Linked DNA regions of Oryza sativa Japonica Group. The protein of the gene in region 1 interacts with the protein of each later gene in a pairwise test. Links are inferred from orthologs where the notes say so. Each region holds a gene or a part of one and is shown in the gene's direction. Other genes may lie near its edges.

Region 1 (4,256 bases):
GGGACGTTGTAAATTTACTAGAGCAGCTGTAAATAAGCTTGCTTGACGATACTGTTAGAGATGCTGACAGTGTAGTTCGCTTCGGTTTAGCCTGTAATTGCGTTGTACCTATGTTAACCTGTCTGTCCTGAGATACAATGACAGCCAGTAGATGGAACTCCAGCAGAACTGTATAAAGACTGGGTGTTGTAACCGTATATGTACTGTCCGTATGCTTTGTTAAAACAAGTTCTTGTGTTTTATCTCGTTGCAACGTTTCTGAACAATGATTTTGGTTTCGTGGTTGATTCTAACAATTTCAGCGTATTCCAGAACTCAAATGCTGCGTTTTTGGTGTTTCGCTAGTTTGTACTACCGAAAACGGCTGTTAGAAGTTGTACGCAGAAGAGACGACATCGGATCACTGAACACTGAGTAGAATGTCACATTTTATTTTACTAAGATAAAAGCTCACAATCTGTTTATAGGTGATTGGCGTCAATTTTGTACAAATATCCCATTTTAACAGAAGCATAATCACAGTTTACACAGTATGGGCCTTTTGTTTTCAGGTATGAGATCGAGAACTGTGTTTTATTTCGAAATCGCTTTTAGAATCATGTACTCCTAGCAAATTGATCCCTTTCAAGAAAGCCCTGTTTGAACAAGGTGGCCTTTTCCTAGAACTGTAATCAAGTAACGAAAATCTCTCCCAAAAACCATGAAAAAATTCAGAAGAGAAGAAAAAAAGAAGAGGGCAAAGTTACCGCAACTTGGATCTCAGCAAGATAATTGTGTCATCAGGAGGCCATGGCCATGATAGCAACAGCCTCACATGTAATCAGGAAGATAACGCAGTATTTCTTGAAAAGCATCATCGATCCACTTGATTCACCCAACTCACACACAAACCACAAAAATCACATAAAAAACAACAATAACCAAAAAAACCCAGATGTATCAACTACTGCTGACGGATTTCAGATCACTACTCCTACGCCTTACAGATCTGATCCTGCTGGATTGCTCAGAGAGATTCAGATACAAAAGGGGAAAAAAAACAGAGAGTCTCAGATCTACTTGCGGCGGCGAAGGCTCGGGAGGGGATGGAGGCTAGGGTTTCTGGCCATGCGAGTCCATTTCCCCATCAGGTGAACCCCTCCCCTTTTTTCACCCCTTTTATAGCCTCACTCCCCCGACCCGCAGCCGCGCTCCCGGCGGCGCCGAGACCCCACCACCGCGTCTCGCTCAGAAAAGAAAAAAAAAAAAGTCCAACTCGCCTAACGAGTGGGCCCGAAGCGGCCCAAATACCAGGAGACTTTCCGGCCCACCCGCCGCCCCGCCCGCCCCTTCTGGAATCTTCCGTCGCCTTCGCACCTCGTCACGGGAGGTAAAAAAGAAGAAGAAAAAAAACCGAAAAAAAAAAAGGAAAGCAGAGGAAAACCCCAAGCCGCAAGCCCCCCCGCCGCGAGTCGTCTTCTCATCTCTCCTCCGCCGCCGCCGCCTGCTGCTGCATCTCTCGTCGTCGCCGGTGAGGGAAGGGAGGGGAGGGGGGAGGGCGTGATGGCGGCGGTGAGGGAGGTGGGGTCGAAGGCGGAGCTGGAGGCGGCGGCGGGAGGGGCGCGGGCCGCCGCGGTGCACTTCTGGGCGGCGTGGTGCGAGGCGTCCAAGCAGATGGACGAGGTCTTCGCGCACCTCGCCGTCGACTTCTCCCACGCCGTCTTCCTCCGGGTACGTGCGTGCGCTCGTGCCACTGCTGGTGTCCTCCCCGATCGCGGTAGATTTGAGCTGTTTAGTTCGCTTAGGGTTATGGTGTGGTAAGGATTTTGGTGGAAGGTTACAGTGACTTGCTTGCTGGTGGCTTCACATACTGTATTTCCTACCATTTGTTTTAGTAGATTCATATGAGATGTTTTTCGGATGATGAATTGTGAATCTTGTTTCAAGAATCATGAGTAGATTTGGAATTAGTTTGCTTTTATATATCTGGGAAGTAGGTATATGTTTTTGAGAGGTTGATACTAACCTGGCTGCCTGGAGTTCTGCCATAATATAGAGCCCATAGTATATAAATTATTGATAGTGATTATTTCTTCGATGTTCTGTGTAGGATAAATGCTATTGAAGCTGCTCTACTTCTGTGTTTGATTTGTAACTGTGGTGTTGTTTCTTTTACTTCATAGTATTGTGTAGGGATGTATCAACTATCAAGTACAATTCTTCTTCTTTGATTGCCGATCCAACTTGTTTATCCAGTTTGACTTACTGCAACTAACTAAAGAGCCAGTTTGACTTACTGCAACTAACTAAAGAGGTAGTTGTGTAACATCCTTAAGCGCTGACCATTTTCCTGCTTAGCGTACAATTCTTTGATTGCCCATCCAACTTGTTTATCCAGTTTGACTTACTGGTTGAATGCAACTCCTGAAGAGGTAGTTGTGTAACATCCTTAAGCGCTGATCATTTTCCTGCTTAGCACCGATTCACTGTTTATTCCACCTTGGGTTGTAGCTTACTGCATGTCTGACTAGTTGCTATTGTGCTAGGAACCATACTCTTAGCGCTAGAATATGTCCTGCAACCTTTTGAGTTCTCAGTGGACTCTGAAATCTGTCAAGACTCAAGAGTATGAGACAAAATATAAATATTTCCAGTCCCTTACATAATTATGATTCGTTTTGCTACTGGATTATTCTGTAGTTTCATTGAGTGATACCATCAAACTGAGTGTTATATAATAAATACTGTTATAATTCAGTAGCTCTTCTTTGTGACTATTTTTCTTTGGGCATTACTTATATTCCTATTAGTCTCTCTAGTAATTGTTAATCACTGTATTATATTGTAGAATTTGACTTCTATATCATTTGCTTGTTTGTTTTCTCATACACTAGTAACTTTTGTCAGGTTGAAGCTGAGGAACAACCCGAAATTTCAGAGGCATATGGAGTTACAGCAGTGCCATATTTTGTTTTCTTGAAGGTATTCGCAACTGCCTTTATATAATTTGTTCTGACACGAACCATTTCACATAGTTATATATTTTTGCATAATAACTTCTGGTAGGATCATGATACTCTTCCTTACTAACTTGATGCGGATGAGTTCTAGCCTTGTATAATGCTAGTATGGCTATAATGCTGAATAAGTAGCTTGTATTCTTCCAACAAGATGAGAGGTGCAATAATTTTTTTATTCCACAAAATAGTGATCAGATTTGCTTGCTCATATACCCTGAAGTAATGAGTTTGGATTGTCTCCACTGACATTAGCTGCCTACAGTGAAGTTACCATTTTTTAGAGGTGCAGTAAAGATTCTACCTTGTTGTGTAATTTAGTGCACCATAACTGTCTGCACTAAAGACTCCTTATGAATGTATCTTATGACATCTGATGAGGTGTGTTGTCTGATGGTGTAACACACAGTCTCTCTCAATTCATGGACTTACAATCAGTATGAGCTGTGAATTGTGCTCTTGAACCAATGCACCTGATCATATGATTATTACTATTAAAGCTTGCATGCATAGGTCCTTTAGTATATTGCTGAATATTTGTTAGCAAATTATTTGAAATATCAGTATGATGCTTTTTACTTAAAGAGGTTGTCATCTTTGTGTCTTTGTTTTTTTGGGGTTTGCAGGAAGGTAAAACTGTTGATACTCTGGAGGGTGCAAATCCAGCCAGCTTGGCCAATAAGGTTGCAAAGTTAGCTGGGCCTGCCAGCGTTGCTGAGTCTGCTGTGCCTGCTAGCCTGGGTGTGGCTGCTGGGCCTGCTGTACTTGAAAAGGTTCAAGAGATGGCACAGCAAAATGGAGCTTCTGCCACTAGTAGTGCAGAAGATGCATTGAACAAGAGATTGGAGCAGCTTGTCAATTCCCATCCCGTCTTCTTATTTATGAAGGGAACCCCTGAGCAACCAAGGTGTGGTTTCAGTCGAAAAGTAGTTGACGTTTTGAAGCAGGAAGGAGTTGAATTTGGGAGCTTTGACATCCTAACAGATAACGATGTACGTGAAGGAATGAAAAAGTTCTCAAACTGGCCGACTTTTCCTCAGCTCTACTGCAAAGGTGAGCTGCTTGGTGGATGTGATATTGTGATTGCTATGCATGAAAGCGGTGAACTGAAGGATGTTTTTAAGGAGCACAACATTCCGCTGCAGCCACAGGGAAGCAAAAACGAGGAGGCAGTGAAAGCCAAGCCTGATACTGAGAAGAGTGGTGCAGTTTCTGAACCAGCTTTGCTTACTGCAGCTCAGAAGGAACGCTTGGAAAGCC
Region 2 (3,106 bases), on another chromosome or scaffold:
TTATTCTGCATTGTTGAGAGCTGAGATCCATATTATAACATAATATGGCTGGGAGTTGGGATGGCTGTTGCTGAGATGTCTTTCTTGTACCTCTTTATCCAGGCATACGATCAACATTTAAACATGATTCTTGGAGATGTTGAGGAGATCGTGACAACAGTTGAGATTGACGATGAGACATATGAAGAAATTGTGCGCGTAAGTGTTTTGACCTTTTGTTGCAAATTTTGTGATCAGTACTTTTGAAAGTCATGCTATAATTGTTTTGGTTAACCCTGACCATTGATTGATGATGGAATATCAATGTGGATAATATGTTTGCTTTAACCCATGCACATGAGTTGTTTGGCTGCCACCTTGTGCGTGCCACTACACATCTATATTGTTGTGCACATTTTTTTCTCAAAGTACCTATGGTGCTTAGACTGCTGGGCATATAGTGCTTAACTGCTGGTTTAGTGTAACATAATTGCGGTTACATACTTTTTATTGGGAATAATCTGATGCTTTGGGACATATTTCTTACTGCTATATTCTGAAATTTCTGGTGAACATGTTGATGCTGTACTAACTATTGCTAAATCGTGTCTTTTTCCAGACCACAAAACGCACTATCCCCTTCCTTTTTGTTCGAGGTGATGGTGTCATTTTGGTTTCTCCACCCCTCCGAACGGCATGAAGTATGAAGGAAGCTCCTGCCGATTGTCAACCATGAGTAATGTGTATTTTTTAATCAATGGCATGTGTTATGTGCTGAAGTGCTACTATTTCTGATGGATTCTAGTTTTAGCATATGATACAATTGTGTAACAATTTCTGATCGAGGTGCTAGTTTCTACTGTCATGTTGAATCAACCTTTTGTTACCAGATTAATCAACTCAATCCCGAAGCACTAATATTTGTTGTGGTGATGTCTTGCGTAATTTTTGTAGATCCACATGCCAAGAACACCCTGTTCCAATCTCTATTAAAAAAGAGCCAGCAAGTTGTAACATTTTTACAGCGTATATGATTCACATCACAACACCCAGCCAAACAGGGAACGTATCACCGTCCCAAGACTTATCACAGCCAAACAGCCAAACAGCCACACGGCAGCGGTGTCTCCAGGGCTTGCAGAAAAGACACATTTTACATGATCATTTCATTAGCTACAAAAAGAGATCTATAAACTATTCACTGACCAGCAAAGTCAATCTTCATTCCAGCCATGCTTGAATTCGCCCCAAATCCTCACGCCCGGTCATGAAATTGTATCCATCTAAAGTTCTAAACAGCAAGCCAACAACACAAAAAGTACGACACAAAGTATTAGCCAAAAATATTCGAATTTCTTCGGGAAACATGAATGGATTTAACTAAATTTCACCACATAGAAAAGAATGAATTTAGCGAAAATTCACCACCATAGAAAAGAGAATGCCCGGGATCAAACCGAAGATTCGATTCCCAATCCAGCGGAGAGATTGGGAAGAACAAAAAACCTTTTCATGATTCCCAATCCACATCAAGTAGGAATATTTCTGGTAACTGAAAGAGGTCAAATAAAGGAGAGGGTGAAACGGCCGGCGCCATCCCAAGTCGTCTTCCTCCTTCGCTCAACCCGCAGAAGAACACAGATTCGAAGAGGCAGAGGCGGCGAAGAGACGCGCGAGCCATGGGCGTCACCAAGGAGGATGTCGAGGCCGCCATCACCTCCTCCCTCAGCCCTTCCAGCCTCGTGAGTCTCTCTTCCCTAAACCCTCGCCGCTTATCCATCATCCTTTTGCCGTTCTAAACCCTAACTGCCGCTTCTGCTTTGGTTCCACGGTTTCAGGTGGTGACGGATACTTCCGGCGGGTAATTCCTCACCCCCAAACTCCAATTGTTCTTCACCTTTGTATAGGAGTATTTAATTTGCTTGCTTCCATTGTTACGAACGAAAGAGAAGAGATCTTGTGTTTGGTGACTGGTTGATCGATTGGTGTGAAGGTGCGGCGCGAGCTACGAGATTGAGGTGGTGTCGGAGAAGTTCGAGGGGAAGCGGCTGCTGGAGCGGCACCGGATGGTGAACACCGCGCTGGCGCCGCACATGGCGGAGATCCACGCCGTCTCCATCAAGAAGGCGCTCACCCCTGCTCAGGCGCAGCCCCAGCCGGAGCCGGCCGCCGATAAGGCGCCCCAGGCTTAAGTAGTTCTTGAACTCACACCTCCAAACTGTTCGATCACATATGCACCACGAGTGAACCGATGCACTTGGTGTAGCGTTTGTCATGGGTGTTTGAGATGTGCGTCAGCTCTCTCTGCTTGAATAATGTGCATACAATGGCAGAATTGGAATGATACTATGCTTGACTGCTTAGAAATTTCAGTAACTTTGCGTGCTTCCCGCGTCATGTGCTTGGCAGTTGATCCTATTTCACAATTTTGCCAATAAATTGCCGTCTAGATAATGATCCTATTTCGCAACTTTGCCGATAAATTGTCATCTAGTTAATATTTAGTCCTAGGACTTGGATTGTTTTCCCCTCGAACTAGGTTGTTTGATTGTAGAGATAAAGTGCAGTTGCTTCATGATTGATCTAGTATTGTTTATTGCTGCTACTATAAGTTGACTGGCTCACAGCCTGACATAGTTGCTAGTATCTACTAGGGGTTCTATAATGCCACATTGTTTTACTTGAGCATTTAGTCTCTGTATTTTTGGTGAAGCCGACAAATATTAAGAATAAACTATTCTCACTGCTTGCTGGACCAATAAAACTGGATATGATCATACAATTGTGTTTGGTGCTAGGTGTATGATGGCTTTTAGTTTATGTGATAAGTAGTTCTCAGCTAGTTTGGGGACAATAAAGTGGTAACTAGTTTAAAATCATATCGTTGTGTTGTAAGTGCATTTGCTGCTTGCACTATTAATTTCTTGGAGATCTGCATGCATGCTGACATCTGATAGAAAATGAACCACTTCCCTTCAGCATTTGCTTTGCTTCTTTGGTCTGTGTTGGTTTCGACTTCCTTTAAAGTGAATTCTATCAGAAGGCCTGTAAAAATGATTTTTATAGGTTGATGTGTTGATACTAGAGATGTTCTTCACTGAGATGTTTCTGTCAGAATGCTCATTGA

What was found.
Region 2: the proteins of monothiol glutaredoxin-S11-like (region 1) and protein BOLA2 interact in a two-hybrid assay, tested with the Arabidopsis thaliana proteins (2 studies listed by BioGRID). The link is inferred for Oryza sativa Japonica Group from reciprocal best matches to the Arabidopsis thaliana genes GRXS17 and AT5G09830.

Annotation. Positions count from the first base shown.
Region 1 is NC_089044.1:19,787,572-19,791,827, forward strand, and holds the start of monothiol glutaredoxin-S11-like, read left to right. Parts: upstream 1-1,413; 5' UTR 1,414-1,542; coding exon 1,543-1,710; intron 1,711-2,886; coding exon 2,887-2,961; intron 2,962-3,622; coding exon 3,623-4,256. UniProt on the Arabidopsis thaliana protein: May only reduce GSH-thiol disulfides, but not protein disulfides. Participates probably to the maturation of iron-sulfur proteins and to the regulation of the redox state of the BOLA proteins.
Region 2 is NC_089035.1:38,152,918-38,156,023, reverse strand, and holds protein BOLA2, read left to right. Parts: upstream 1-1,579; 5' UTR 1,580-1,658; coding exon 1,659-1,721; intron 1,722-1,817; coding exon 1,818-1,840; intron 1,841-1,972; coding exon 1,973-2,171; 3' UTR 2,172-2,376; downstream 2,377-3,106. Other genes in the region: sm-like protein LSM3A, read left to right, coding at 103-198, 599-679. UniProt on the Arabidopsis thaliana protein: May act either alone or in interaction with glutaredoxin as a redox-regulated transcriptional regulator, or as a factor regulating Fe-S cluster biogenesis. The GRXS17-BOLA2 heterodimer binds a labile, oxygen sensitive iron-sulfur cluster.